Linked DNA regions of Mytilus edulis. The protein of the gene in region 3 purifies or fractionates together with the protein of the main gene of each other region. This does not show direct contact. Links are inferred from orthologs where the notes say so. Each region holds a gene or a part of one and is shown on either strand. Other genes may lie near its edges.

Region 1 (10,447 bases), on a different chromosome or scaffold from region 3:
ACAAGAATGTGTCCCCAGTACACGGATGTCCCACTTGCACTATCATTTTCTATGTTCAGTTGACCGTGAAATTGGGGTCAAAACTCTTATTTGGCATTAAAATTAGAAAGATCATATCATAAGGAACATGTGTACTAAGTTTCAAGTTGATTGGACTTCAACTTCATCAAAAACTACCTTGACCAAAAACTTTAACCTGAAGCGGGACGAACGGACGAACAAACAGACAGACGGATGAACAGACGTCCAGACCAGAAAACATAATGCCCCTCTACTAACGTAGGTGGGGCATAAAAAGTTATTTTGGTATAAACAGAATGTATTTACATATGTATGGAAAATATATTCTTTGTGGGTATTTCTGTAAGGCTGTTTGTTGCACATATCCAATTTGTCGGGAAAATATAGAGTGTGTAAAATGGTATTTTTATGTCAATGCCAGGAAAGATTATTCAAATTAATATAAATACACTTTTCTTCCAGCCAGAGACTTTTCTCAGAAATTGCCATTACTTAGTACCATTCTCCCAACTTGGCCAATATTCTAATTCCAATCTATATCTGTATTTCTTACCATTATCACCATATTCTAATCTGACTGAATATCCTAATATCCAATCAATTAATAAAGATCTTTGGGATGGTTGGTAAGGACATCCTAAATCCTCTAAATACTGCTGAAAATGTTTTGTCCAATCACTGCTAGGCATGTTACGTAGCCCTGTCCTATCTTCAATCTTATAATGTCGGATTTTCTGGTCTTCCAACCAAACAATAAAATTTCTAAAGTAGTTCTCATCTGAAAAATATTAATTTTAAGTAATATATTATATTACTGTCTATTGCCAATGTAACTTTTAGTATTAGGAGCTAACAACTACATGTACAAATGTACCCCAGGATCTATTCAAATTTCAAGTACAATTCTAAGACTTGTCATTTAAAAATTTTATCATTATATTTAGGAAAATGTCTGCAAGGGGAAGCTACAGAAGAAATGTACATGAACATGTACAATGTATTGTGTGCAAACATAATATTAAAACATAATTTACGACTTGTTTCACAGAAGGATGCGTTCCAATTTTCCTTTAGGAGCACATGCGATCTACCCAGGTTTTTGTATTGCTCAGTCTTTATTTTTCTTTGTTGTATTTTGTAGACTACTGTTTTCTGGGTTTTTTTTACAAGTAAATCATTGAGAGTGTACAGTTACCTGTATGACTTAAAACAGTCATAATAGATAGTTGATTATAACACCCCAAAGAACTTATGTTATTGTTATGTGACATGCCAAATACATTTATGTATAAAGCTTTTGCTTGATTTGAGTCTTTGCATTTCCATTCCTAACTATCTATTTCAAGGTTCATTTTTCATCCAAAAAATTCTTGTATCCAACCACTGTGAAATAAATATCATAAATACTGCTATCAAAATTGACAGCAGCACTTAAGAAAACCGCATCTTTTATCGATCAACATGCTACCCCGATTAGATCAGCATTAGATCAGCATCTTCAGGACGAAGTATACAAAAACATTTGTAGAATCTCTGAAGTACAAAATAAATGGGGAATGTGTCCATAGGGACACAGATGATGCCCCCACTAGCGTTTAACATTATAAAGGGACATAACTCATGAACTGTAAAAGTGAAGCTGCCAAAATTTGAACTTAAACTGAGTTTAGTGGTAATAAGCATTATACATGTATATACATTTCAGTAAATTTAGTTGAGACAAACTTTTAAAGTGAGAGAATGGAAATGAAAAAATTTAGTAATTTTTCCATTTGTAAAGGGGCATAACCCTTGAATGGTAATCAAAGTGCTTGTAATAAAATTGAGAATGGAAATGGGGAATGTGCCAAAGAGACAACAACCTGACCATAGAAAAAAACCAACAGCAGAAGGTCACCAACAGGTCTTCAATGTAGCGAAAAATTCCCGCACCGGAGGCGTCCTTCAGCTGGCCCCTAAACAAATATATACTAGTTCAGTGATAATGAACGCCATACTAATTTCCAAATTGTACACAAGAAACTAAAATTAAAATAATACAAGACTAACAAAGGCCAGAGGCTCCTGACTTGGGACAGGTGCAAAAATGCGGCAGGGTTAAACATGTTTGTGAGATCTCAACCCTCCCCCTATACCTCTAGCCAATGTAGAAAAGTAAACGCATAACAATACGCACATTAAAATTCAGTTCAAGAGAAGTCCGAGTCTGATGTCATAAGATGTAACCAAAGAAAATAAACAAAATGACAATTATACATAAATAACAACAGACTACTAGCAGTTAACTGACATGCCAGCTCCAGACTTCAATTAAACTGACTGAAAGATTATGATTTCATCATATGAACATCAGGCACAATCCTTCCCGTTAGGGGTTTAGTATCATACCATCATAACATATATGAGAAGAACATAACCCGTGTCATGCCAACAAATGGTTTTTTAATAAATGTGTTTAGTTCCGATGCAAAGACCCTATAAGTGAATCAATATTAACGCCAAAATATGCAATCTTTAATGACCTGACAACAGTAAGCACTGATTTGTAAAGATTGCTTTAATTTATCAGTTGGAAGTAAAAATGAATAAAGCATTGGGTCCAAGACCACAATTGTCGTCCCTTGATTTTCGTTGTCCACAAATATAGTCCATAGTGTTGACAGTGGGTTACTTGCCATTAATTTTTATACTCCTTAAAAATTTATTTCTCCATGTTTAATACCTCAAATTGCAAGTAGGGGGGTAAAAATTTGGGTCCAGAATTTTAAAGGAAAGTAGTGATTTGGTCCAGTTAAAAAAGGTTTAAAATAAGCACTTCAGAAGCTGTCAAAAGATTTCAAGACGCCCTAAACATAAAATTGTCCATATTTTGAGTTAGAGTCGATGAAGTTTTCTGTAATTTTAATATAATTTATCCCAAAAGTAGTACAACACACTTTAAAATTTTCATTGAGAAAGCGCAGGTGGGATTTTTTAATTTTTCATTTATGTTCTAAAAGAAATGCACTACGAAATAATTGTGGTCACGGACCATTGGTTGATTTAACTACCATTCTGGACAAAGAAAGATAACTCCAATTTTCAAAGATATTTTAAAAATGAACTTTTATATTTTCAGAACAGACATTTTGATTTTCTAAAAGGACATAACTCTTGAACTGTATAAGTGACACCACCAAAATTTAGTCTTGACCTGTGTTTTTTTGGTAATAAGCAATGTGTATAAGTTTCAATACATTTGGTTGAGACAATGTGTATAAGTTTCAATACATTTGGTTGAGACAAACTATTTAAGTTAGAAAACGCAAACCAATTTAGGAATGTATGGACTGATGGATGGACGCACAGATGGACAAGGGTAAAACTTAATGCCCCCTCTGCTACCGCAGGGGCATTAAAATAGTTTATGGATAGTTTCTTACTTCTGAAGTATAAAGCTTTTATGACACATAATTTACGCAGTTGTGGTTACCTCTGCCAGATTGTAATTGTGTATCTTGTATTCTGGGACTTTCAAAGCAGGCGATACAAAACCCATGGTTGAAACGACTTAACAAAGTGTGGCCCAAATGACAGTACAGTAGACGATAGCAATGGTATTGTCTAAACAAGTATGGTCGAACATTGGGTACAGTAGAATCTGTGTACACTCCCCATTTTGGCATTGATATTGATTTAAGGATTAATTAAGGTGTATCACTAACTTCAGGAACTTATACACAATTCACCACCACGGACAATCCGTTACCCAATTACCAGGGGGTGTAATGATACAGGACATTGATATTATGGAGGAGGAAGCCGAAGTACACGGAGAGAAACACGGCTGGGCACCGGTCTCATCGGTGCTGCATCTTATAAAAACAAACTGTTCTAAGCCCTATACAATACCCTACCTTCGGGATTAAACGTCTCTGGTTGAGGATAATCTAAAGCTAAGAGTTTTCTTTTGTACATAATTTAGCTAACAGGTTACAGAAAAAATAAAGTAAAAGTTTCCAACGACAACGTTTCCACACTTTGTGGTCTGGTTTCAGTTTTCATCATAAACCAGTCAATTGTGCACATGAGTTATTTGAGTTATTTCCCTTAAAGAGAAACCTAATGGAAGGACATCGATGTACCGTAAGCATACCCAAACTACCACAATTAGAGGTTGATGAATGTTTGTATGAAAGCTGCTGTTTCAAATATATTTATGAAGGTAAGGCCTGATGCAAAAGTTCTAGAGAAAATTGTCATAAATCAGGAAATGGTATATGTGCTAATAGCTTCAGCTCAAAACCTAAAAGTTATAGAAACAAACATTATCAAACAAACTGTCTTAATAAAATGTAAAGGTTTCAATGCTGTATGCCTTAATGTTAGACATATTCTATCTAAATTTGACGAGTTAAAAAATATAATTACTATAAACAACAAATATCTAGATTTATTTGGGTTAGGGAGCTACCATTTGATTTTTATGGGGTTGGGCTAGGATGAAAAATTTTGTCCTGCATTTTTTTTAGTTGTAATCTCTGTCCTGCCTTTTTATTTTTCACTCTATTCGGTCCTGCATTTTTTTCTTATTAGTTTATCCTGACTTTTTTTTACCTAAATGGTCATCCTGCCTTTTTTTTTTTGCAAAGTGTCTCATCCTGCCTTTTTTTTTAACTCAAAACTCCTGTCCTGCCTATTTTTTTCAAATTTCATCCTAGCCCCCCCCCCCCCCCCCTAAAAATCAAATGGTAGCTCCCTTAGTTGATACATTCTTAAAATCTACGAAGGCTACATGTGTCGGAGAAAATCGGACACGGAAAGGGCTTGAATTATTCGAGTTAATATTAACATTGAACAATATAAAGTGCCAGGATAAAAAATTTCAGAAAAGATCGCCAGAGTAAGGATGTTGGTGGCCATTTGGTTTATGTCAAAGATTTTATTGCAGTTAAAAATAGAGCTGATTTATCCATTAATACATTAGAAACTTTATGGTTAGAGGTAGAATTTCAAAAATCTAAACCTTTCTTCATTTGTACTCAGTATTTATAGACCACCAAATTCCCCTCAGTCCTGGATAGATCTTTTTGAGGAGGAATTTAATGCAGCTCTTTCAGAAAACAAAGAGATAAATTTAATGGGGGACTTTAATATTGACTTGATAAAAATTGAGAATAAAAAATGGATGAATTTCATAAACAATTTTAATCTTCAACAACAAATTTGCACTGCAACACGTATTTCACGGTGACAAATCGGAAACTCTAATTGATCAGATTTACACTACTAATCCTGAAAATATTGCCCATTGTCATGTTCCTTCATATGACCATATCCTGTATGCTTGAATAGAAAAATCAATATAAAGATAAAGAAAGAAAATCGTGTCGAAATAAAGTATAGGTGTTTCAAAAAATTTAATGAAGATGCCTTTTGTACAGACTTACATCAAACCCCTTTTCATATTGTTGAAATGGAAGATGATATTGATATTGCTGTTGACAAATGGTATGAACTTTTTAATCAAGTTATTAACAAGCATGCACCAATGAAAACTAAAAGAATAAAAACATTTAAACAAGCCGAATGGTTCAATGAAGAAATTAAAAATTCTATTCAATATAGGAATATGTATCATTCAAAAAAAGATTGGGTAAACTTTAAAAAGTGGAGTAATAAAACAACGTCGTTAATATTTAATCAAGGACGTATATATACAACTTAATATACGTCCTTGATTTAATGAGGGGGGCAAGGGGTTTAACTGTTATGCTGTTATGGGGCATTTTAATTCTTTGTTATCTGTTATTCTGAAAATATATTTACTGTTAGCTGTTATTGTCTTATTCTTTGTTAGCTGTTATAGGACTATTATCTATTTTGTTATCTGTTATTGTGAGAATGTATTTGCTGTTAACTGTTATTGAAAATTGGAATGTTAGCATTTTGACAGCCAATCTTCCGTAGAATTTGAAGATAATTGAAAATTGTAATTTGAATGGATAATAATCTCATTGGCACGCTTACCACACCTTCTTACAATGTATATCTGTTGGGGTCTTTCTACTGGTAATATCGGGTGGCCCTGTATTTGCAGAAGAATTTCAGTAACATACATCACATCAATCTTATTAAAAACCGATCTCTCATCGCTCCTGTTTCTGATATGTCGCGTGGGACGCGACATAACAGAAACAGGAGCGATGAGAGATCGGTTTTTAATTAGATTGACATCACATAAACATATTAAAATCAATTGGACCCAGGACCATTCCAGTATATATTATTATTATACTTTGTAATAAATTCCATTGTCTGTGAACATGTAGCATTTTGTACAAATTATAATTCACTTAATTATTACTTGTACATTAACTTATAGTATGGATTTTGTTATAAAAAAAGCATTGGAACACCCAACACCCTATAGATTTTTTTTATTCAATGACCACATAATAATGTTTATGTTGTACTGTTTCAACACTGTTCCTGATTAGGGGAGGATTGGACACCAACTAGCATGCTAACGTTGACGCAATCACATTCTGTATGTGCCTACTTTCAAGTCAGGATCCTGGATTCAGTGATTGTAGATTGTTACTGTATACTAAGTTTCTCGTTCACTATTTTGTGGATAAATTAGGCAGTTAGTTTTCTCCTTTGAATTGTTTTATATTACTAAGTGGTATGGGTTTGAATTATGACTTTTGAAATTATACAACATCTTTTTCTTTTAGCATTTATATTATAAGTGCTACTCCCCCCTATTTTCATTTACATGAAAGAGAACCCTGACCACCATATTTTTAAAAGCTTTTTAACTGCTTCACATGGCGAAAATTGAAGCTCTGAAACCATTGATGCAAATAAAGATGTGTCTTCAGTTTAATTTTTCAACAAATACCCTTTTAAAAATCCTACAGCTTCTCCAATGCTGTACCCAAATTTTCCATATTCTATAATTTCACATAAGATGCATGATTGGTGTTTCACTTGGTGTCATCCAAATTTTCACTCGGTCCAAATTCTATTATCCTATCAGAATTGTCACTTGAGGCAATTTCTATTATCAGAAGAACCATAACTGGCATGCGTGTTTCAGTTACATGTCCTGTCTCAACTGATCTGGGTATTTTTGTATTTTATAAGTAAGTTTTATCATGAGGTCATTAAATAAAAAAAATATATTGTGCATCAATGGTTTTTTTTATTACTTGTAAAGTATGTATATTGCTTTTCAGAAGAAAAAAAATCTAAAAATCAATTTGATAATAAAGTGTCACTGGCTGCACTATTTTCAAAAATTAAATAAAAAAACCTAAATCATTAACAATTGATCCCAAAAATGCCCTAGATTAAAAATTTCCCTATATCAAAAACAGAAACTAGTAATTTCGTTTAGAAAAATTCAACAATCATACTATAACTTATTGTACAAGTTACGGAAAAAATCAACCAAGGCAGAACTGCCTCAACGGCCGAAACGTCTTGTTTACACAAATTACAATTTTCTAGGTCCATACCACAAGTTATATACTAAGATCTACGAGTCATCTACTGGATTGGTCCTGGGCAGATTTATTTTCATATTTCATTTACTGTTATCTGTTATTATCCCTTTTCAATTCCTTGTTATCTGTTTTTCACCAAATCAATTCACTGTTTTGCTGTTATGGGGACCCCCCTTGCCCCCCTCTTTAATGCAAAAAAGGAATATTACCAAAACTATAACTAGTTCCAAAAATAGTAAAGAACTTTGGAATCATATTAAAGAGTAAAATCCAAAAGAGGATAATATTTTTTCCAACTAAAATGCAGTATGAAAATCAAACTGTTTATAAAAACCAAGATATTGTAAATACTCTTTATAAGGACTAGAACACACCCGTGATATCACGGGTCCGTGATTGAATTAAAGTATATAACTATGCGCAAGCCTTATTTTAGTATTATTATTGTCATCTGTTAAAGTCGTGCCGATTATAAGATACACAGTTTTTCTCTGCTTTCAAGTCTATCTGTTTGAACCCGTCGAACTGGAACTTATCAATTATTGGTAATATTAATTATTTGGAAAACAAAAGGTCCTGGAATGGAGTATTTTTTAATCAACAGCATTGTCCTATATAAGTTTTAAGTAAAGTTGAATTCTTTGCCTCGCTGTTTTACGTCATGCCCACTAACAAATTGAAAACTGTACCTACTGATACGCCTTATTTTTAGTCCAGATTTTTAGTATTCGTATTGTTATCTTAGAAAGTCTAACTGATTAAAATACAACAATAGGTAACAATTTGACAATTTAGTAGTGTCAACCCTGTGGTTATGACCCGTGTATATAGCATATTAATCCTGAATACAACGTTTGGTGGTGCGCCTGTCAGATGCGGAACGTACAGATAAGGTAATAGGTAACAGGTGAATATACTATTGGTATCGGTAGCGGACTCGACCCGGAACTTCTTCATTATTGGCAATATTAATTTAATACGTGGAAAACAAAATTTTTAACCTACACCTTTGTACTATATTAGTTATATATAAAGTTGAATTCTGTGATTCGTCGTTTTTACGTGATGACGGCTGACAAATTGGACCTCGTAATTTTAGTATTATAGATGTACTTAGGTGAGGTTTTGGAATTTGTGTCAAATGTTCGGACCCCTTGGTGTTTTTCCATACAATACAATGTAAAATATTTTGCCCCATAACACCCATTTATTTTTTCATTTAAGACTTAATAGCTCATGAAAGGTCATTTACCAAATTTCAGAAGATTCTTAATTTTCTTTCTTTTGCTTTGAGACCTAATAATACCAATGCAAATATAAGGTAAAAGCCCGAGTCAGCCTTTTCCCGCCATATTTTAAATCTCAAATATTTCGTAAAGGAGGTCCATGACCTATCAATATGTTTAGCTTATTTTTATCCTTAATTGATGCTCTACCAGCTTATAGTATCAATTTTAACTTCTCAATTTATTAATTTTCACCTAACCTCACCTAAGTACATCCTTAATGTTTATTTTTCATCCGTAGCTGAAAAACTTATTGGAAATAATACTTCAGATATTGATTTTTCTATGCTACAAAATTTTACTGGTAAAAAATTAAAGAAAACTGAAATTTTTTTAAAACTCATGTCTGTTGGAGAGGTGTGTTCTCAACTAAAACATCTTAATATTAATAAATCCACAGGTTTAAATGGAATTGGTCCCAATTTTTTTAAAGCTATGTGCAGAAATAATATCGCCATCATTAACTTTTTTAATAAACAAAAGTATAACTTCAAATCGTTTTCCGCAAAAATTAAAACTTGCCAGAGTAACTGCTATACATAAAGGAGGACCAAGAGATATTCCCTCAAATTATCGTCCAATTTCTATTTTAAATACCATATCTAAAATTTTCGAGAGACATGTTTCACACAGTTATATGAATTCCTAAACAATACAAAATTGTTACATATCGCCCAGTCAGGTTTCAGACAAGGTCATTCGTGCCATATATATCATTTTGTTCTGGTATCACCTAAGTTGGACAAAGGTAGTATACAGAAAAACACATTAGTTTACATAACATTGCATATATGTACATTTGTTGAGGAACAGCGCTAACTAAACTAATTGACGAATGGTTAAAATATTTAGATAATGGAGGAATAGTTGGTACAGTGTTTTTAGATTTTAGTAAGGCTTTTGACCTTATTACCCATGCCATACTTTTAGAAAAGTTAAAATTTTATCATATCGGAGAATACATGATAGATTGAATAAAATCATATTTGTCTGAAAGACAACAACAAGTCTAATACGCCAACATTAAATCTGATAAATCGTTTGTAAAGTATGGAGTGCGTCAAGGTTCTATTTTAGGTCCGCTGTTATTTTTGATATATATAAATGACTTACCACTTCATGTTATACAATCCAACATGAATTTATATGCTGATGATTCAACATTGCATTTTCATGATAAAAACATTGAAAAAATAAACAGCATATTGCAAAATGATTTAAATGCTATACAATCTTGGTGTAACAATAACAGTATGAAAATCAATGCACAAAAAACAAAGCGTATAAATTTAGGTTCAAAACAAAAACTTACACAACTATCAGAATTATGTATTACCGTCAACGAAACATGCATTGAGAATTTCCATTCTTTCAAATTACTTGGAATTGACATTGATGAAAATTTAAGCTGGGAAGATCATGTTGATCGTATATATGTAAAATTATCTCATCTAAAATATCACTTTTATATAAAATTAAAGTATATTTGCCAATACACACAAGGCAACTATTTTATAATGCATATATTCTACCATATATAGACTATTGTAGTTCAGTTTGGGGAAATTTTTTACAAAAAGATTCAGATAGAATCATAAAACTTCAAAAAAGAGTAGCAAGAAATATACTGGAATGCGATATTTCTAT
Region 2 (10,559 bases), on a different chromosome or scaffold from region 3:
CATATTATTGCACTATATTGTAACAGGCATGACAAGGAAATATTTATTCTAATTGCAAGTAATTTCTTTATACATGTTATATATCGTGTATATTTTCCACACCAATTTACATGATTAAGATATATTTTACATGTTCATTTGTTATAGACAACTTGTTGAAGGCTTCGTGTTTCTCTTTATGCATGTTATGTCTCTCTTGGTTATTTTAGTCCTTGGCTTGATGTCATGTTGACTTTTACTACACATCTCTTTTAATTCATATTCCAGTTTAATAAACACTTCTTATATAATTACAACATGTTTAGATGTAGTGAAATTTTTATCATTGGTTTTATGATATGTCTAGTTCTTCAATTATGAATTCTGGTCCATCTTAAATCTGGGGGAATGAGATAGATTCAGTTTGGCTGGATGAGTAGAATAATTACAATATAATTTTCAAACGTAATATAAAATAAATTAAACGTAGGTTAAAGAAAGTTCATAATATGATTGATTTAATTGATTAATCATGTTAATATTAAATATCAAAGTAAACATGTAAATAAAGTAAGAAATTTGTATTAATAAAAATATAAAATATATTTGTTTTACCTTTTTAAATCTTTTACTCATACATTTTTTACCTTTTTAAATCTTCTACTCATATATTTTTAACTTTTTAAATCTTTTACTCATACATTTTTACCTTTTTAAATCTTTTACTCATACATTTTTACCTTTTCAAATCTTTTATCCATACATGTACATGTTTTACCTTTTTAAATCTTTTACTCATACATTTTTTACCTTTTTAAATCTTTTACTCATAAATTTTTACCTTTTTAAATCTTTTATTCATAGATGTTTTATCTTTTTAAATTTTTTACTCATACATTTTTCACCTTTTTAAATCTTTTACTCATACATTTTTACCTTTTCAAATCTTTTATCCATACATGTACATGTTTTACCTTTTTAAATCTTTTACTCATACATTTTTTACCTTTTTAAATCTTTTACTCATAAATTTTTACCTTTTTAAATCTTTTATTCATACATGTTTTATCTTTTTAAATTTTTTACTAATACATTTTTCACCTTTTTAAAATCTTTTACTCATACATTTTTTACCTTTTTAAAAATTTTACTCATACATATTTACCTTTTTAAATCTTTTACTCATACATGTTTTACCTTTTTAAATCTTTTACTCATACATATTTACCTTTTTAAATCTTTTACTCATACATGTTTTATCTTTTTAAATCTTTTACTCATGGTCCGAGACCACAATTGTCGTCCCTTGATTTTCGTTGTTCACAAATATAGTCTCTAGTGTTAACAGTGGGTTACTTGCCATTAATTTTAATACCCCTTCCAAATTAATTTCTCCATGTTTAATGCCTCAAATTGTGAGTAAGGGGGTGAAATTACACTGTAAAAAAATTTGGGTCCAGAATTTTAAAGGAAAGTAGTGATTTGGTCCAGGTGAAAAAGGTTGAAATATAGCACTTCGGAAGCTGTCAAAAGATTTCAAGTCGCCCTAAAGATAAAATTGTCCATATTTTGAGTTAGAGACGATGAAGTTTAAATTTGTCCCAAAAGTAGTACAACACACTAAAAGTTTCATTGAGAAAGCGCAGGTGGGATTTTTTTAATTTTCATTTATGTTCTAAAAGAAATGCACTACAAATTAATTGTGTTCTCGGACCTCATACATTTTTAACTTTTTAAATCTTTTACTCATACATTTTTTTACCTTTTTAAATCTTTTACTCATACATTTTTTACCTTTATTAAATCTTCTACTCATATATTTTTTACTTTTTAAATCTTTTATTCATACATGATTTACCTTTTTAAATCTTTTACTCATACATTTTTCCCAATTTTCAAACATTTCCAGCCATTTCATCTCTCTTTTCCTTAATTTCTCAAAAGAGATCCTGTGTTCACTGAAAATAGACAGTACAACCATTCACAGTATATATATACATGTAGCATTGTCATGATTGTAGAGAGTTTAAACACATTTTATTTCACCATCATGACCATGTTCACAAAGTAAAATTGATTGGACAGCAGTAAATCATACTTTCAAACTCCTCTAGAGGCCCTGAATGCTGTGTTATCATGGTTATACATGTTATAATATACATGTACAAATGTATGTATCAAATTTAACGAAGGCATACACAGACGTCCTGCTGGTATAGGTTACCATTTCATATCTTAAGTATGGTTTATATACATGAATACACAGAATTTTACTGAGGTCAAATATCAATGGGTCAGTAATTTTCATCCTTCGAATTATATTAGATAAATTTCAGCAGTGTTCCAGCTAGGCCATTTTCAGAGGGCGCAGCGCCCGCCCTTTCCCAAGTGCCACCCTGTGCCCTTTTTACAGTTTCCAGTGCGCCCTGCCTTTTTGAAGATCGATTGTATATTAATTTGTTCATATTGATATGATATGCTAATTACTAAATTTTACCTGGGGAAAAGTTTATGACTTTGTTTACGACCCCAAGCTAATTTACAGTTATAACTGGTGTCATAATCTGTCGTTATAGGTAATCTGTTTATCGGATGGGTCATTAATGATCATCAACTTTAATTTCGGCAATTACCTTTGAAGAAATGTGCTTGGGCACAATTTGAAATGTTTACTGCATGTAGTTTCATGGAGAAAACGTAATGACAGAAATTTGAAAACCATAAAAAACTAGTTGAAAACATTGTTTTACTTGTTTTCCATGAAATAAACAGAAAATTCAGACGTATTTGTCATTGACTGCCCTCATTTATGATACGAAAATAACAAAATCGGCCGCCATATTGTTTTCTATTTACATTATATTTACGTACTGTTTATAATCCTCCAAAGAAGGAGCACATCCAAATAAAGAAAGATAACTCAATTTTTTCCTAGCATTGAGTAACTCATTTACGAGGGGGGATAGGAGGGGTCCTGATCCCGAAATCCCCGGCTTAAAAAAACGAAATCCTGAGGTCCCGAATTTAAATCAAGTAAATCCTGACGTCCCGAAATTCGAAAAGAAGGATTCTCAGATCCGGAAAGGGTCAATCCAGAAATCCCGAGCTTAAAAACACCCGATCCCTGAGTCCCGATAAAGGTCCTATCCCCCCTCATTTACCTTACATATTCTAAAATATTACATACTTCCTGCTTAAGAATATATATGTTTAGGTATTTTGAGTTATGGGAAAAGTTAAAGAGAGTCTTAGTAGCAGTGTTGGTAGGATGCCTTGGTCATCTTTTTCTGTATTTTTTATTTTTGATACAATTTTCCCCTGTTGCTGTTTATCCTGGGCTGTATATATTACTGGGCACAGCTGTTTTGTGCTGTATTGCCATTAAGCACAGCAGGGGTAGAAACTGTGAAACTGGTAAAATGTGCCAGACCATAGAAACAGAAAGAAACCAGGCCCGTAGCCAGGAATTTCCAAAGGTGGGTTCGTTGGACTCACAAACTCGACTTTAACAGTCACAATTCGAACAGAACATTGACTTTAACAGTGCTTATTTGTTTTCAGAGGGGGGTTCGTCCGAACCCCCCGAACCCCCTCTGGCTACGGGTATGGAAACAGGTCACCTTTCAAAACATACTGCATATAAAGCTCAACTGTGCCAAGCAATGATCTAAAAACTTGTGCGACAAGCTGCTTGATAAGTTTTTTAGCCTTCAAAGTAGAAAGATAGAGTTATATATGGGCTAATGATGTTGTTTTTGTATAACCTGTGATTCAACGAATAAACACAATGTTTGATTAATATCTTTTATTAAAACATGCCCTTTTCATATTATCATATCACACGGTAAATGCCCTTTTTCAGGATTGGCACCCTGCCCTTTTGAAATCCTAGCTGGAACACTGTTCAGTGATAATGGACCCTCATACTAAACTCTGAATTATACACAAGAAACTGTAAATGCTGTTGTATCTTTTTACTCAAATAAAGATATGAAAACTTGTACTTTGATGGAGAGTTGCCTCATTGGCACCCATACTGATCTTCTTCATTTGTTCTTGTGTGTATCTTTGTATTGATATATAATTATGTGACTATTTTCTTGCATTCTATTTAGAATTTGTTGTAGTTTTAGCCATAGTGGTTACTTCTGATGGAAATTCAGATGACAGAAGTCTGAATTTTATATTTAATTTCATCATGTTCATGTTTCTCAAAATTTCATCATTTACAAATTCATTTTCTAGAAATGAAAAAAAAAAATCTAGGGGAGGTGGCTTTAAACTAGGGTTGGTTGGGTAACTGGCACCACCCATAAACAAGAGGGTAGTAATAAATGACTTATGATGGTAAAAATTCTTGCCAAATGACGTTTAAGGTAATTTTTAGTACATGACGATAAAATGTACACTTTCTTCATGTTCTTTTAGACGATAAAAAATCAGCTGAATTTCACAAATCAAGCTATTTTTTTCAAAAAAAACCGGTAATAATTATTTGAGACATCTGACCAATCACAATAAGGATATTTTGACGAATGATGCTAAATTTTTAAACAATTTGACGCTTAACGTAGTGAAAATGACTGTTTGACACCTGACGGTAAAGAGCATTACCATCCTCATACAATGTATGATTTCAGAATGAGATTTTACTATTAAACCTTATCATTAGTTGGCTACCATTACTGGACATCACACAAGTTCCAGTAAAATTTTGACGTCATAATAGAAAATATCTGATGCCACAATGGAACAGTTATTGTTGTATATATTAAATGTCAAAAGTTCAAGAGGGAATAGCTACAAAGTACAAGATGTATCAAGGTTCCTATGTCATTTCCTAAAAGATTTAAAAATTGATAAACTACGGTTACCTTAACTGACTCATTAATTGATGCATATTGTTTGGGATATAAACTTACTCGTCTGGGTCAGTATATTGGTCACCACCCATGAAACCAAATCTATCGACATGAGCCATAGCACTCCCATTTTGCATTTCCCTTCCTTTCTCAATCTCCTTCGTGTCTCTCGGACTATCATCTGGAATTGCATTTGCCATGTTTTAGAATGAGATGTCTATCATGTACATATTATTTTAGATGTTAAGTCATGCTTTGCCTTGCATTACTAAATTATTTTTTTTATAGATTGTTGATGTTAGAGGTGTCTTGGGCTGGTTAAAAGATTGGAAACTGTCCTCTCGAACAATGACAGCTTGTTTTATTTTATCTACGAACAACAGCACTTAAATAATTTGTTTTCAGGACTGATCGACGAAGGGTGTCAACTGTTATAACCCAGAATTTATTTGCTTGATGATCTTCAGGAAGTGGTGTCTACCGGAAGTTTACAATTTTATGACACATGCTCATTGAACCATGACGAAATAATTATCGGACTTTCTTTCACATTTCTTTTCGCTTTAAATAAACTTAACCATGCAAAATCTTCACACAAATAGTGTAATGACTGGTCTTATTTCAATAGACTGTCTAGTTGTTTTCAAATAATTTCATTGGGGTCAAATCGAGAGAGACCGACATTGGTTTTTTCACACAACTCACTACTTCTTGGAACAACCGAAATAGTCCGCATTCATGTATTCATTTATCTGATATCACAGCTATGGGGATACTGTAAATAATAATAAAAATAGTAATAAAAAGATGTTAATAAATGGTTTAGCATCAAATCTGCAAAAAAGAGGCAATAGTTATAAAATTTAATATAAGAAAAGTAGTGCGTCCTCCATAGCAGAAATATATTCTACCGCGTAGCAGCCTGTGGCAGAATAAATCAACTTTGATTGAACAAACCAACACTTAACATATATTGCATTGATTTGCTTTTAGTGACATTATATTTAAACTATAATATTTGCGGAAGAGATCGGTACATATTTTGTACCGATATGAACTCCTGATTTGGAGAGGATCACATTCTAAACACGACCTGACAGGACCTCCATGATGAACAGTCAAAAGAGAAACAGAACCCATCGACCCAACACAAATACTGGAAACAGGTGCTTTTATTCGGTGTCTCACAACAATTTACCCCTCATCATCATGTCATTTTAGACAATTTCATTGTCAGTGAGCCAACAGCCTTTGTTTACTTTTTTTATCCTCAAGTCAGTCTCAGTATCTCGATGTTACACGTTGTTCATCATTCAATGCGGTCATGATTTCGGTCTGGCGAATAATTTACATTATATTTAACTGTAATTAAACCAGATTGTAAAATAAACGTTTAAATTATTTTTAAAGATAAAATGTCCAAAAGTTATTTCAGTTGACACATTTCTTGATTATCATGACAATATGAAGAATTTCAATACACCTTAAGTCCTTATCGCTAATCCCGGCTGACCCGGCCGCTTGAACTTGTGACACATACAACAATCACTTTTTCATTGTGGCGTCAGATATTTTGTAGTATGACGTCAAAATTTTATGGGAACCTGTGTGATATCCAGCTATGACGGACAAATAGCGATAAGGTGTATTAAATGCGGAGGGTGGTAAAGGGGGATACTGAACACGGAAACATGTGAAATAAAAATTTCAAAAACATTGCACGAAAAATTAAAAAATTGAGGACAACGAAGCACGAGAAATAAAGGGGTAAATATTAAGGAAAAAGTACCATAAGTTTTTACTCAGTCGTTCTTGGTGATCATACAGCCTTATTAATGGACATGGAGACTTTCCGGTCCACTTTAAGTGTCCGCTACTTGCATCTTTTATGAAGAAAAAAATATTCACAGTAATTTGATGGACTTCAATGATACCATACATAATGCAAAAGTAGAATGAAAACAACATACACCAATTACTATTAGATTTCATAAATTTCAGAAGGTATGCAGTATAACAAATTGCGGGACATGCACAAGATATAAAGAGCACAGTCACGAAACACGGAAAATAGAATAAGGGGAAACACGAAGCACTCAAATTGAGCCAAACACGAGAAAACGAGAAATAAAATGTCAAAACACGAAAATATGGGAAATAAAAAGGCTGAAAACATTGCACGAAAATAACCCTTTACCACCCTCAATGAGAAATTACATATTTTTACAGGAGCACTAAGATAAAAATCCTGAAGAAATTTAGTTATTTTGTACCATTGAAAACTGGTACATGTATCAATGTAAACATATACATGGCATTCTTATTCTGCAGTACCTCATGTATATACCATTATGAACAAGATTTGCAAACTCACCAACTTACAAACCCACAAGCATGATAAGTTATATTATTTGCTTTAAATTACCTAAATAATTCTGCTTTCCCCCTTAATACACTTTTATCACTATTTTCTCCATTTCTGGACATAAGTTCCCTAAAATTTTGACGTCATAATAGAAAATATCTGACACCACAGCAGGACATTCCAAATAGCGATAAGGTGTACATAAACACAATGAAAGTCCCAACTATGTACTGGCTTCCGAAGCTGCACAAAAAACCTTACAAATATAGATTTATTTCATCTTCCAGCCATTGTTCAACTACTAAATTGTCTGTTTTACTTACTAGTACACTTGGTACAATAAAAAACCTGATAATAAATTGTTCAAATAAGGCCTTTGAAAATAGTGGAATTAATTACCTTTGGAGTGTCAAAAACTCATTGGAAGTACTTGATAAATTGCATGCATATATTGGTGATTTTGAATCTGTTCAAAGTTTTGATTTTTCTACCCTATATACCACTTTGCCTCATATTCTTATTAAGAAAAAATTCACATCCCTAATTAACTGGGCATTTAAAAAGTCGGAATGCGAGTACATATGTTCTAACTCTTTTAGATCATTTTTTAGTAGCAATAAACAAAAGAACTATGTCAATTGGACATGCTTTGATACTATTTATGCACTTGAATTTTTACTTGATAACATTTTTGTTCGCTTTGGAGATTCCGTATATCGTCAAGTTATTGGAATTCCAATGGGGACTAACTGTGCACCACTTATTGCGGACCTGTTTTTGTATTGTTATGAGTTACAATTTATGACTAAAATTAGCAAAGACCCATCAAAACAACATTTGATACAAAAATTTAACAATACTTTTAGATATTTGGATGATATATTGGCTCTAAATAATGACGACTTCAGTATGTATACTAAAGAAATTTATCCTGTAGAACTTACTTTAAATAAAGCTAATGATAACAATGACCACTGCCCTTTCCTCGATCTTGATATCTATATCATAAACGGGAAGCTTAATACAAAAATTTATGATAAAAGAGATGATTTTTCATTTCCTATTGTTAATTATCCATTTTTAGATGGTGACGTTCCCTTGTCACCATCTTATGGTGTTTATATATCTCAACTTGTACGATTCGCTCGTGTATGTAACAATGTATTAGATTTTAGCGAGAGAAATTTATGTATTACTGAAAAATTATTACACCAGGGTTTTCGATATCACAAACTGGTCAAAACATTTACTAAATTTTATCACCGGTATAAGGAAATAATTCGTAAATATAACTCAACATGCAGACATCTTATACGTTCAGGTATTTCACATCCAAAATTTTATGGAAATATTCTTTATAAAGCACAAAAATGTCAGTATTCTCCTCAGAAACTAACAAAACCTTTAAATAGACTTATTAAAAGGGGATATAGTTACGATACTGTTGTCAGGTCATTAAAGATTGCATATTTTGGCTTTAACATTGATTCACTGATAGGGTCTTTGCATCGGAACTAAACACATTTATTTCTAAAAAAACAGTTGTTGGCATGACACGGGTTATGTTCTTCTCATATATTTTATGATAGTATGATACTAAACCCCTAACGGGAGGGATTGTACCTGATATTCATACAGTACGCCCAAGGAGTTTGTAATCCCAAACTCCATACTCCGATATTTTTCCTGGTGTAACACCAGGAAACTCCGACATCCCTCCCAAAATTCTCGGAGAAATTTGGGAGTATTCCCTCCGACTTCCGCGTAAATCCGCTACCTTTTGTTTATTGTATTAGCGACATCTCTCTCAGTCTGGTGTGACGCGGTGTGACACCAGGTAATTAATTGCCCTAATCCGTCTGATCTATGCCGGCACGCGACAGTCAAGGTATGTGAGATTTCTAATGTAATTAAACAATTGTATTTCCTGTCTATTGATTATCAGGTTATATCTGATTGCTTGAAACAAATGAAAGATTAAAATAAAAAGCAAAACGTTGTTGTTAATTCTTTCAATTACTCTGTACATTTTAATCAAGTTTTTAAACAACTATATTTGATTTTGACTTCCGTTTTTTTATCAGTAAATAAATATTTAATTTACTAAAAGAGATATAATTGTGCAACAATAAACGGAGACTAACGCTGAATAAATGAGGGCAGTTTAAAGAAAAATTACACGTCTCAAAGTTTTTTATACTACAAGTAAAAAAGAAAATATTATTCCTTATCTGTTATGCTAATAATTCTACGCCATTTCCATTTTACGATTACAAAATAAAAGTTTTAAAATCCAAAACGTTGTTGTTAATGCTTTCAATTGCATTAAAGTTTTATAAAAAAAATCTATACTTGATTATGACCTCGTTTTTTATTTATCGGTAATTGATATAACTTACGAAAAGAGACATACTTGCGTGAAAATAAACGGAAACTAACGCTGAAGGTATAAAATGTGAGCAGTGAGTTTAAAGAAAATTACGTGTCTTAAAACTTGTAATTGTATATGCAAGTAAAAAAGAAAATACTATTCACCATTCGTTATGCTTAATAAGTCTACGGCATTTTCTCTTCACGATTAGCATTACTTTAGGATATAATACATTTCGGCTACAACAGGAATACTTCTATAGCTGCATCAACTCGTCGTTGCATAATATTCATTTACGCACAATGAATGTAAACCTTTGTGTTGTATTTAGAACAGTTATCTTTAAATATTTTTAAAACAATTAATTGCCGTGGGAAGACGACACGCATCTCAGTGATCAACAGTGCGTGGTTGAACTTGAACTTGACATCGCTCACAATATTGAATGCTAAAAATAGTGACATCAATTTTGTCCACGAGATTTTTATTTGGCGGGAAATAGTATCATGTAACAGTAAACTCAGGTGACCTTTCTGGATAACCGTGGGAAAATTCATGTAATGATTGACATTTGTGTGCGTTAAGATTGAGGCTCTAGAAGGTCCTTTTACAATTGATTAACCGGATTCTAAATTTTATTCCTTTTCTGAATAAACGAACATCAGCCTTTCATTTATACGTTTCTCAGTCAACAGAGGACATAAACCTGGACATTATTTATACTTCCATAGTCAACACTATACATTAATGGTAGATGAAAACAGGATGCATGTCGTTCAGTTCCTGATGGGCGTTGGTAGAGATCCTCTGTGAAAATGTGTCGATCGTAAAAATCCGATCCACATTTTTTTTTACATATTTCTTTCTTGTACGATATAATTTCATTTTAATATTCTATAGTATAAATTGTTGAAATACTTCTTTTTATATTTCGCTGAGGACTTTTAACAGCAGTAAAATACGGATTGCGGCAATCCAATTT
Region 3 (10,486 bases):
ATTATACTGTACTCCATTTAATAATCAGAACAAAAAATCATTTATCAATAACATTTTTAACCTAAAAATTATGTTGTTCTGAACAAAATAAACCAATTCAAAATTTAAATATCAAATAACTTTGATTTCTAGAGTTGTTTTCATTTTGGAAGGCCTTTTTTTTACCTCCACTTTCTGAGACATTTATTTGCAGCATTTTTTTGCAATATATATATCTTGAAATGACAACTTCTGTACTATATCAAAATATTTTGCATTGAACACTTGTAAATACATTTAAAACAAAGAATAAATATTTGATTCCTACAATGCATTATTGCCCCCACAATTGTTGTAGCCGAAAAATATAGGTAAAATAGGTCAAGGCTGAAAACTCGTAACGCAAAGTGAATTACATTACTTCTATCACCCCCACAATAAACATGTATAGCACTGTGAATACAATATAGCACTTAGAGTTTAGACAGAACACATGTTTAGAAAATACCTTCCATAAAGGCAATCTGATCTAACAATCAATGTTGGGTTCAAAATAGATCTGGTAGGAGAATTTAATTTTTCATAATTCATTATAAAATTGCACCATTCTTATTGTTAACCCGTACTGGTAGCAAATACTAGATGCAAGTATTTCTGGTACTATAAATAGTGAGATAACATGACTACAAAAATCTAATTGTAACAGAAATGAAATTAAATACAAATGTGAATTAATTATCCTGCCACCGAGATAAATATTAACAGGATTGACTAATAGTGATAAGTTTTTAAATCCAATAAACTGTAAATTACTTCCAGAATGTTTATAGTAATAATTAACATTCATGAATATTTCACTTTGGAATTTCTTGAAGAAAAATTGGTAGCCGAATGTTTTGTGGGTAAGCAAAAAAAAAAAAAAACACCTACTTTTATATCTTATCTGACATGCTTATCAAATAGCTGTTAAAAGTTTGAAAAAAAATATTAACATACATTTTCAATGTCAGGAAAAATTCAACAACTAAGTGTTAATAACATAATTATCTATTTCCCCCTCTTCCTCCACGTCCACCACCCCTCCCACCTCTGCCACCTCTTGCACTTCCACTACGTCCTTCTTGATCATAACCCCCTCCTCCTCCTCTGTGTCCTCCTCCACCTCCACCACCTTGATAGCCACCACCTCCACTACCTTGATAGCCACCACCTCCACTACCTTGATAGCCACCACCTCCACCACCTTGATAGCCACCACTTCCACCGCCTTGATAGCCACCACCTCCTCTTCCTCCTTGACCACCACCTCCTCCCTGATTCCACTGACCACCAAACTGTTGACTTTGATTATCTCCCCAACCACCTTGTACTTTACCTCCACGCCCACCTCCTCCTCGGTCACCACCACGTTCTCGATCACCACGTCCTCGATCACCACGCCCGCTATTGTAACCACTTTGAGGCCTTTGCTGTTGGGGTTGATCTACTCTTTTCACAAATGATGGCATTTCAGGAGGTGGAGGCTCTAGCTCCCATGCTCTTCCCCCTCTATCTGGTACCTTTGGAATACGAACTTTATTTATTGCACATCTTGTTTTATCTCTTGCTTCACCACTGCTTGTTTTCTCTAATCTAGTTAAATCATCCCTTGCCGCGAGTATTTGTGCAACACTTATAGCAGTTTTTCCCATTAGCAACTTTCTAATCGGCTGATAGACTGCTGCTATATCATTCTGCTTTTTCTTCGCATTATCACCCCACATGAATGATTGTATAGTAACGTCTAGTCTTTTAAGTAACATTTCACGTCTTGTCTGATATTCTAGTGCTAAGGAATTGTTTATCTTTAATATTTGCTCCCACTGCATATCAGAAAGGCGAGCCTTTAATAAAGGTTTACCCACCTGCATAGGATGTTTTGTTAATATTTCTTTTATCTTATTTTCAACCTTGCTAAATAACTGAAAAGATGTTACATTTACAGGTGGTTTAGGAAAGCTTAATCCCATCAACATAAATTTTAAATGCTTAGCAACATCACTTTCTTTCACATCTTCTGGTTTATTCTGATCTGCTGCTTTGAGAAGACCAGGTTTTTTAACAGCTAATACTCTGATTGTAGCAAGTTCAGAGGTTAAATAATCCAACAGCTGTAGTTTGTTTTCCTTAGAATTTACTCTTTCTGTAACTGGGCCTCCTTCATATAAATGATTGTAAGGACAAATCAATTCTCGGAGAAAGCCACTTAGCTCCATGACAAACTCTGCTGAGTCCTCTGAACTCGTTATTGGATTAACATGTTCTTCTAATCCAGTGAAGGATTTAATTTGATCAGTGAGCCAAGATACTAATTCAGTAAATTGTTGTTGACATGGCCCATTCTCTACAAAACTGTCAAAAACTCCATCATCTAGGGCTGGTCCACTATACCCTAAATCTTCAAGTGAATCTAAAATATCGTTTTCCATTGTATCAGCAATAGTAATTGAATGTGATGATATTTACTAGTGTCCTGATAAGTTGTCTATCTTTGATACTAGATGCAGTGTGCATTCATACACTGAAAATAAAATTATGCTCATGTTGATCATTAAATCATAATTGTATCTTACATTTTTTGTATATGCATTTAGCCATCTAACATTGTCTAATAACATCTCAAAGAAAAATAATGTGTTTTTTGGAGATATGTAACAGTTATTTTTTTTACTTGTATGTACCATGATAATCTTTCACCAAGTTCATAGAAGACTTTTTTCAATTTTAATTTATATTCCATTCTAATTTCGAATGTATTCTTGTTGCTTTCATATTTCATGTTTTAGTTCAGAAAGCAAGATAATATTATAAATCATGAAACATTTCAGATAGTTATGTTTGAACTTGAAGCTTAAATATTTGCTGAATCTTTTCTTATATGAACTGATTCTTGCCTATATATCTAGAAACAAGTGTATCAAATAATTTGAAAATTTTACTTTAAATTTTTGCATTTGGGATAGGCACTTCCATATTTGGTTTTTGAACTTCTCAGATTACATTCTAAATCATTTCACTTGTTTTAACTTACAAAAAAAATTAATTGTATGACAACAGTTTCAAGTTTATATATATTCTGAAACAACCTGACACACTTTCTGGTAAAACATTTTGTACCCTATCCATTCAAACTCAGACATCAATTAATTGAAGGAAAAAACTTACCTTTAACCTTTTTGTTTGTGTTTATCTGCAATTCTGTGTTGCTTCATTATCCATCAGGGCCATTTCCCAATGGTAGTTATAAATATAGACAAAATGCTGTACCCATCAGGGAACTTCAAAAGCTCTTCCAATATTGATCATGGTTAAATAGTTTGAAATATTTCCATTCTTCATTTTATAGGTTATAAGTAGTTTTTTTTTATAAATCCCAGTCTAATATGTAGGTTAATTTTGTTCAAACTTCTTGTTTCGCTGTTGTCATACAATTAAACTAGTGTAAGTTAAAATCATGTAAAATACTATTATAAAAGATGATAATAATGTTAAATATAACCCTTAAAGTCATCTGTGTCCTTCACATGGTAACATATTAGGACCACCATGACCAATCTTTGCACTAGACAAATCATGATGAAACATTCCCAGAAATATCTTAAAGAAATGATAAAATAAGATAAGATTCCATTTGTGGAGAGCAAATATTTTCTTTTATTTCAAAATGGTTTCCCAGAATTTCTGAAATACATTTTTGTATGTCAGTTCCAGATAGTATAAAATATCAAACTCTGTCAAATTTGGCAGACTCAAATTTCCTGGATAATATAAATCGGGTCCATCAAATGGTTTCTTTTGGTTATTTCTGGAAATATTTAATTGTGCATCAAAAAGCACTAAAAAGGTAAGACTTTCAAACTACGCAAACATTTTCTTGCTGGCAATGAAGATTTCATGCCAAAATTGGGTCTCAACAGTTCTCACCAAAATTCTCTCTCTTAAGTCCAGACGGAAAAAATTGTTTCAACGTTATGACGTCATAAGAAGGCGTAGCAGAATTTAAAAAAAAAAGCCTTTCAAGACATCAATTATTAATGTATTTGGACTAGGTGTCGTAATGGAAAATATAATTTACTATAATTCAGGCCCAGCAAAAGGTCTATGTTCATGTACTGTCTCTTGCCCCAAATAAATAAGTAGGTATGGTAGTTCCAATTCAAAATACATTTCAGGTTTATCATAACAAACAGACAAATATGGCTGTATTTACATGTCAAAAACTACTCTGAGTACAGACTTACCTGTCCAGTAAGAAAAGTTTTAATGCGTAGCATCCAATACATATATAAAAGTTAAATGCATTTTGTGTTGCAGAAAGATAAAATCTCTTTTTGATTTTGATGGGCATTTTTTTTCCTTCATGCATAAGGTATGAAAATAAACTAAGTTGTGGAACAACTTTGAGATGCTCCCTCAGGTAAAAACTGGTTTGTATTTTATTGAATGTTCTTAATTGACATGGACAATAGGTATCCTCACAACTATAGGTGAGTTAAAGAGTTTATCTAAGTGGACATGTAGTCATGACAGTGTAAAAGTAATTCAGGTGTTGTTTATTTTCACACCTTCTCCAGAAAGGAAAAATATTAAAATGCCCATCAAAAACCAAAAAAGATTTTATCTTTCTTAAACACAAAATGCATTAAACTTTTATATATCTAGTGGATGCTAGGCCTTAAAAATTTCCAAACAGCACAGGTAAGTCTGTACACAGAGTAGTTTTTGAGGTGAAAATACGGCCATATTTGTCCATTTATTATGATGTACCTTACGTTCATTCGGAGACATATAAAGTATCGTTTTCATCTATGATTTGTTTTGTTTGTTTCTGATAAAGTAAAATATTTTTTTTGCTGAGTAAGTGAGTTGCTTAGATACAAAATAAGGAAAATCATAATTTATTGAGAGAAAATAAACGAAAACCAGGAATACAATGCACTCATGATCTCTTTCATTGTAATTGGAAGAATGACATGTTCAAATTAAAAGCTAAATTGATCAAATTACCCCATTCTAGACATGCCACATGCACGTTTTCGCAGAAAATGAATCGAATATGCTAGAGATAGTCCAAACATAATATTATGAGTTTGCTAAAATATGGCAGTGTTCCTAACTTGGCCAAATTACCTCGTATCTGAAAAAAAAAAAAAAAAACTCCATGCAAGATTTGGGATTTTCGCTTGATTTTCGCGATATTTGCCCCGAAAAACTGAAATCGTATATAAAAGCCTAAACAGGATTCTACACGTACCACTACAGATACAGAATCAAACTTCTAATTACTGGCTCTTTCTTGTAGTCCTTAATTTAGTATTTCCTTTTGGTCTCACTAATTGTCAACAAGAAGCGACAAGAAGCAACAAGAAGAATAGATTTAGCGACAAGAAAACTTAAAAAATATTATTAAAATAATTTACATAAAAAGAATGCATTGACATTTTGATTTAATATTTTGTGATAAATAAAGTGATTTTCTTTTTTTTTTGTTATAATATTGATCACAATTTAAAAAGAAGTACGCACTCAAAATTCATTTTCAATTATTTGTGTGTTTTTGTGAAATATATATATATAGGCCACGCAGCGCAAAAGTTTAAACAGTATATAATCTTCAGGTAATGAAGGACTACTGGATTTTTAAATGGTTATAAAAAGAAACAATCTGGCGATATTTTTGTCTATAAAAAAGGTCGTTGTGGTGCAGTATTTCTAAAACATAAAAAATGGTTTTAGTTGAATTTTAAAATGGTTCTTAAAAGACACAATCTGGCGATTGTTTTGTCGATAAAAAAAGGTCGTTGTGGTGCTGTATTTCTAAAACATAAAAAATGGTGTTAGTTTAATTTTTAAATGGTTCTTAAAAGACACAATCTGGCGATTGTTTTGTCGATTAAAAAATGGTGTTAGTTTAATTTTTAAATGGTTCTTAAAAGACACAATCTGGCGATTGTTTTGTCGATAAAAAAAAAGGTCGTTGTGGTGCGGTATTTCTAGAACATAAAAAATGGTGTTAGTTTAATTTTTAAATGGTTCTTAAAAGACACAATCTGGCGATTGTTTTGTCGATAAAAAAGGTCGTTGTGGTGCGGTATTTCTAAAACATACAAAAATGGTGTTAGTTTAATTTTTAAATGGTTCTTAAAAGACACATTCTGGCGAAAGTATGTCGATAAAAAGGGACGTTGTGATGCGTTATTTCTAAAACATTAAAAATGGTTTTAGTAGGATTTTTAAATAGTTCTAAAAAGAAACAATCTTACGAAAGTGTTGTCGATAAAAAAAGGTCGTTGTGGTGCGTTATTTGAAATGGTTATAGTTGTATTTTTAGATGGTTCTCATATATAATAAAAACTGCCCGTATATAAAAAAAAAATGCCTGCATATTTTTTAATATATTTATATAAATATTTTTTTTTTAAAAGTTTTCTTGTCACTAAATAGTCTTCTAGTCGCTTCTTGTCGCTAAATTTATTCTTCTTGTCACTTTTTGACGCTTCTTGTCTCTAATTAGTGAGACCGTTTCTTTTCGGAATGTCTTTGGTGTTTTCTTTGAACACACTAACACAATTTCAAAAATGCCGGAAAAGTCAAGTTTTGATCTGGTATATTCAGTCGAAGCAGACGGAAATATACCAGTGTCAAAATATAGATCTGGTAAAACTGGCCTCACTATCTTCATAGCTGATGTTGGAGGTCCTCTTGTCAATGGATACTTTTGCCTTGGTAAGCTGGAAGGGTCTACTAAAATTATGCTTACACGTCTAACAATTACAGTTTGATACATAATTTATTGATTATACATTATGAGGAAGCTGATGATGAGAATGATATATGGGTAACACGAATGACCGAATAACACTTGAAATTTTAATATTAACACATTTTGGTGACTTTTATAAATTTGATTATCATATACTTAGACTAAATAACATGAATTTTACCGTATGATAATAGCATTAAATTAACGTATATTTCATATTTTTTCCAATTAGTGCTAAGCGGGCTGATATGAAAAGTTTATCACATGCTTCGATTGTTATCACATGCCTTTCCGTAACGTTATCACATGGCATTCCGGTGATACTCGGCAAATTCCGGAAAATACACCTCAATACTACGTTTTCAGTGAAAAACATTACAAAGTAGTGTACAAAACAATTATTTGGATACTGGAAAATATATTGTGTAAAATAATATAAAAAAAAAAAAAAAAAAAAAAAAAAAAAAAAAAAAATTATTTAATAAATGCATTTTTTAAAAGTTTCAAACATAATTTAGAAAGTTATTTTAAAAAAGGTTGACTTTTCCAAACAATGTTCATTATGTATATTGTTGAATTATTTTTTTTTATCGATTCGTCCATGTTAAAATGGTTTTTTTCTCTCTGTTGAGGCATATGTTAGAAAGACTCATATCGAATGTACCAAAATTTGGGTCCGACGTCCCTGAACTTTTCACTCTTTGAACTTCTTTTCTAAAAGGATCATTATATGAATCTGTTCTTTACTGTTGAAGCATATGATAAAAAGATCATAACATGTCATTTTTCATATCGCATGTATTATCAGCCCTCGGTCAATATCAGCCCTCGAGCCATGCGGCTCTTGGGCTGATATTGAACCTAGGGCTGATAATACAATGTACATGCGATATGAAAAATGCCATGTAATAATCTGATATTATAATTGAATAATAATATGTTATCGATGTATTTAATAACTTAAAAATGATTTACAGAAAGCAGATAAGTTCATAAAGATCAATTTAAATTTAGTGTGTACATCGAACTTGGCGACCATTGTGATTTTCGTGGGTCACCATATTGGATCTACATACTAAATTTTTAAAGTTTTTTATGAACTTGTCTGCTTTCTATAAATCATTTTTAAGTTACAAAATACATCGATAATATACTTATAATTAATAATCAATGTTTAAAAGTCACCAAAATGTGCTAATATTAAAATTTCAAGTGTTATTCGGTCATTACAAGTGTTATTCGGATAACAATGTTATTCGGTCATTTGAGGTACCATCAGTCAGGGGACTTACTTAAATGAGTGATTAGAAATTTTGTTATAAATTGTGATTTTGTAGTTATACTAAAATTTTAAACACATAGGTTTAGATAATATCTTTTCATTAGTAAAATTGAAAAAAATGAACTTTTTGCTTCTTTTAAGTAGAAAGGTGTATGCCTTTGGTGCAATAATTTAGCTGCAAATTCTATTTTAGTGGATAAAATGCTATAATAATGGCCTAACTTAATGAACTGATACTTTCTTCACAGATTTTTCCCAGCAGTGGGAGTATTTTTCCTGTAAAGTTCAAGGTTTCATCTTTCAGATTATGTAATAAAATTCTACTGTTCGCGATAAAAAATTCACTGTTCGGGGGGTGTTGAAATTAATGGGGGTTATTAGAACAATGATACTTAAAAAAGTGATTTTTTTAAGGAAATTGAGGTATGATACTTAAACAAGTGATTTTTATGTCATTATCCTAGATTCAGTACAAGGTCATCACCTGACATGACCTGGTCATCCTAGACAACACAGATGTTGGTTCTGATAAGTTTAGAAACATAATTAGTCCCTGGATCATTAGTATTCTATATTTAAAACTACAATAAAATTAAATCACTTAGTCTAGTGATAAATTTGTACTACTTAAATAGGTGATTATTAAAGAAAGACAACTCTAACTTACGACCTTTATGAACATAATGTTACTTGAATCAGTGATTTAATAATCACTCATTTAAGTAAGTCCCCTGACTGACCATCATTACCTATGAAAAAATAAAGGTTGGCAAGAAGATGAAACTACATAAATGACAAAATGCCAAGTGACAGTCCAAGTTGTCCTCATAGACATTCCAAGTTATCTTATTAGTAGGTCTGATTTATCTATGGGCGTAGTTATCCCTGATTCAGCTGATGAAGGTGTCTTCTTGTATATAGAGCATGCGCATCTAGTTATGAGTTAAGAAAGTCGATTTGGGAGCTAACAACAACAATACTTTATTTTAAGAGGGTTACACAGTTAGCTATATAACTATGTCCGTGTTAAGAAAGTCAAGTTATGAGTTACAGAAGTTGAGTTGTACACTAAAAAGTTGACTTGTGAGTTAAAAAAGGTTGAATTGCAAGTTACAAAAGTGAATTTACATGTACATGTACAACGTATTACAAGTTACAAAAAGTCTGGTTCCGAGTTACAAGTAAAAAAAGGTTGATTGTCCAGTTACCATGGTTACAAAAGCAGAGTTGTGAGTTGAAAAAAGTCTAGTTGTGAGTTACAAAAAATAAAGTTTAGTTACGAAAGCTGATTCAACAGCTAAAGTTGATCTGTGAGTAATAAAATATTTTGTATATCAATCTAGTATCTTTTCGTCATTTGATAAACAATATATTAAAAGGACATCAACAAAGAAAACCTCTGTCACTAGATTGTTGACTTTAAACACAAATATAAACATATGCTATTGTTTTTTTTAATTTTTTAATTAGCTTGTAAGCTAGGTCCTCCATTTGTGAGGAACTTTATGGCAACTTGATAAACTTTAGATTGCAATTATTTGGGCAAAATAAATTTAAACCAGATCTAGAGAAAACTTTAGATTTGTTTATCATAGCATTTTGATATTTAATGAATTTTTTATACGCTTAATTTCAGCCACAGAAGCTCATGATGACGATGGTTTGCCTCACACATTAGAGCATCTTATCTTTTTAGGAAGTGAAGAATATCCATATAAGGTATAATTATAAAAAAGGGCTTCATAATTGTTTCAAGGAAGATGCTCCCACAGAAATTCAGTACTCTGCAAAGTGATATCTTTTGCTTTATTTTGGTTTTGTGTAAAATATAACTGAAACAGGTCCTAACAAAATTTAGCTGGTTATAATATAATTTAGCAATGAATAAAAATATTAGGTTTAAAAGTTCCCCTAATTTTATCAAATATTCAGTCCATAGAAATCTGATTGAAAGCTGAACCTATAAGCATTTGAGACCTTTCATGTTTTATATACAGGGTGTACTGGACTTACTAGCCAACAGATGTTTAGCTTCAGGAACCAATGCCTGGACAGATACAGACCATACCTGTTATACCATGACCAATGCTGGTAGTGAAGGTTTTCTCAAACTCTTACCAGTCTATGTGGAACATGTTTTGTATCCAACTCTTACGGTAAGATAAACATTTATTCATGTTAATAGAAAAAGCTTTTTAATATATTTTTGTTATTTGAGAATTATTCTGTAAATTATGAAGGGTTAATTAAAGGGTAGTGGACCAGAAACATAATTTAAAAACAAAATTGTCCATGATGTCTGATAGTATAAAATTTATCACATAAGTGCCAGTTTTTATGGTTTAAAGAAAAAAATCAATGATTCAATTAGAGCATGTAGAGATAGTCATCATGGTCTTGTTGTTGTCAAATGTTGATTTATT

The links.
Region 1: the proteins of protein FAM98A-like (region 3) and RNA transcription, translation and transport factor protein-like purify together in Homo sapiens (affinity purification with mass spectrometry; 4 studies listed by BioGRID and IntAct, with this or other methods). This does not show direct contact. The link is inferred for Mytilus edulis from reciprocal best matches to the Homo sapiens genes FAM98A and RTRAF.
Region 2: the proteins of protein FAM98A-like (region 3) and ataxin-2-like protein purify together in Homo sapiens (co-immunoprecipitation; 3 studies listed by BioGRID and IntAct, with this or other methods). This does not show direct contact. The link is inferred for Mytilus edulis from reciprocal best matches to the Homo sapiens genes FAM98A and ATXN2L.

What each region holds. Positions count from the first base shown.
Region 1 is NC_092346.1:102,674,004-102,684,450, forward strand, and holds the start of RNA transcription, translation and transport factor protein-like, read right to left. Parts: upstream 4,090-10,447; 5' UTR 3,979-4,089; coding exon 3,918-3,978; intron 800-3,917; coding exon 575-799; intron 1-574. UniProt on the Homo sapiens protein: RNA-binding protein involved in modulation of mRNA transcription by Polymerase II. Component of the tRNA-splicing ligase complex and is required for tRNA ligation.
Region 2 is NC_092349.1:93,597,632-93,608,190, reverse strand, and holds the start of ataxin-2-like protein, read left to right. Parts: upstream 1-5,528; 5' UTR 5,529-5,948; coding exon 5,949-6,007; intron 6,008-10,559. Other genes in the region: TBC1 domain family member 10A-like, read right to left, coding at 1,838-1,937, 4,902-5,041. UniProt on the Homo sapiens protein: Involved in the regulation of stress granule and P-body formation.
Region 3 is NC_092345.1:24,242,230-24,252,715, reverse strand, and holds the start of protein FAM98A-like, read right to left. Parts: upstream 5,119-10,486; 5' UTR 5,097-5,118; coding exon of another isoform or gene 5,026-5,096; intron 2,540-5,025; 5' UTR 2,448-2,539; coding exon 1,023-2,447; 3' UTR 1-1,022. Other genes in the region: uncharacterized protein C05D11.1-like, read left to right, coding at 6,597-6,744, 9,700-9,782, 10,061-10,219. UniProt on the Homo sapiens protein: Positively stimulates PRMT1-induced protein arginine methylation. Involved in skeletal homeostasis. Positively regulates lysosome peripheral distribution and ruffled border formation in osteoclasts.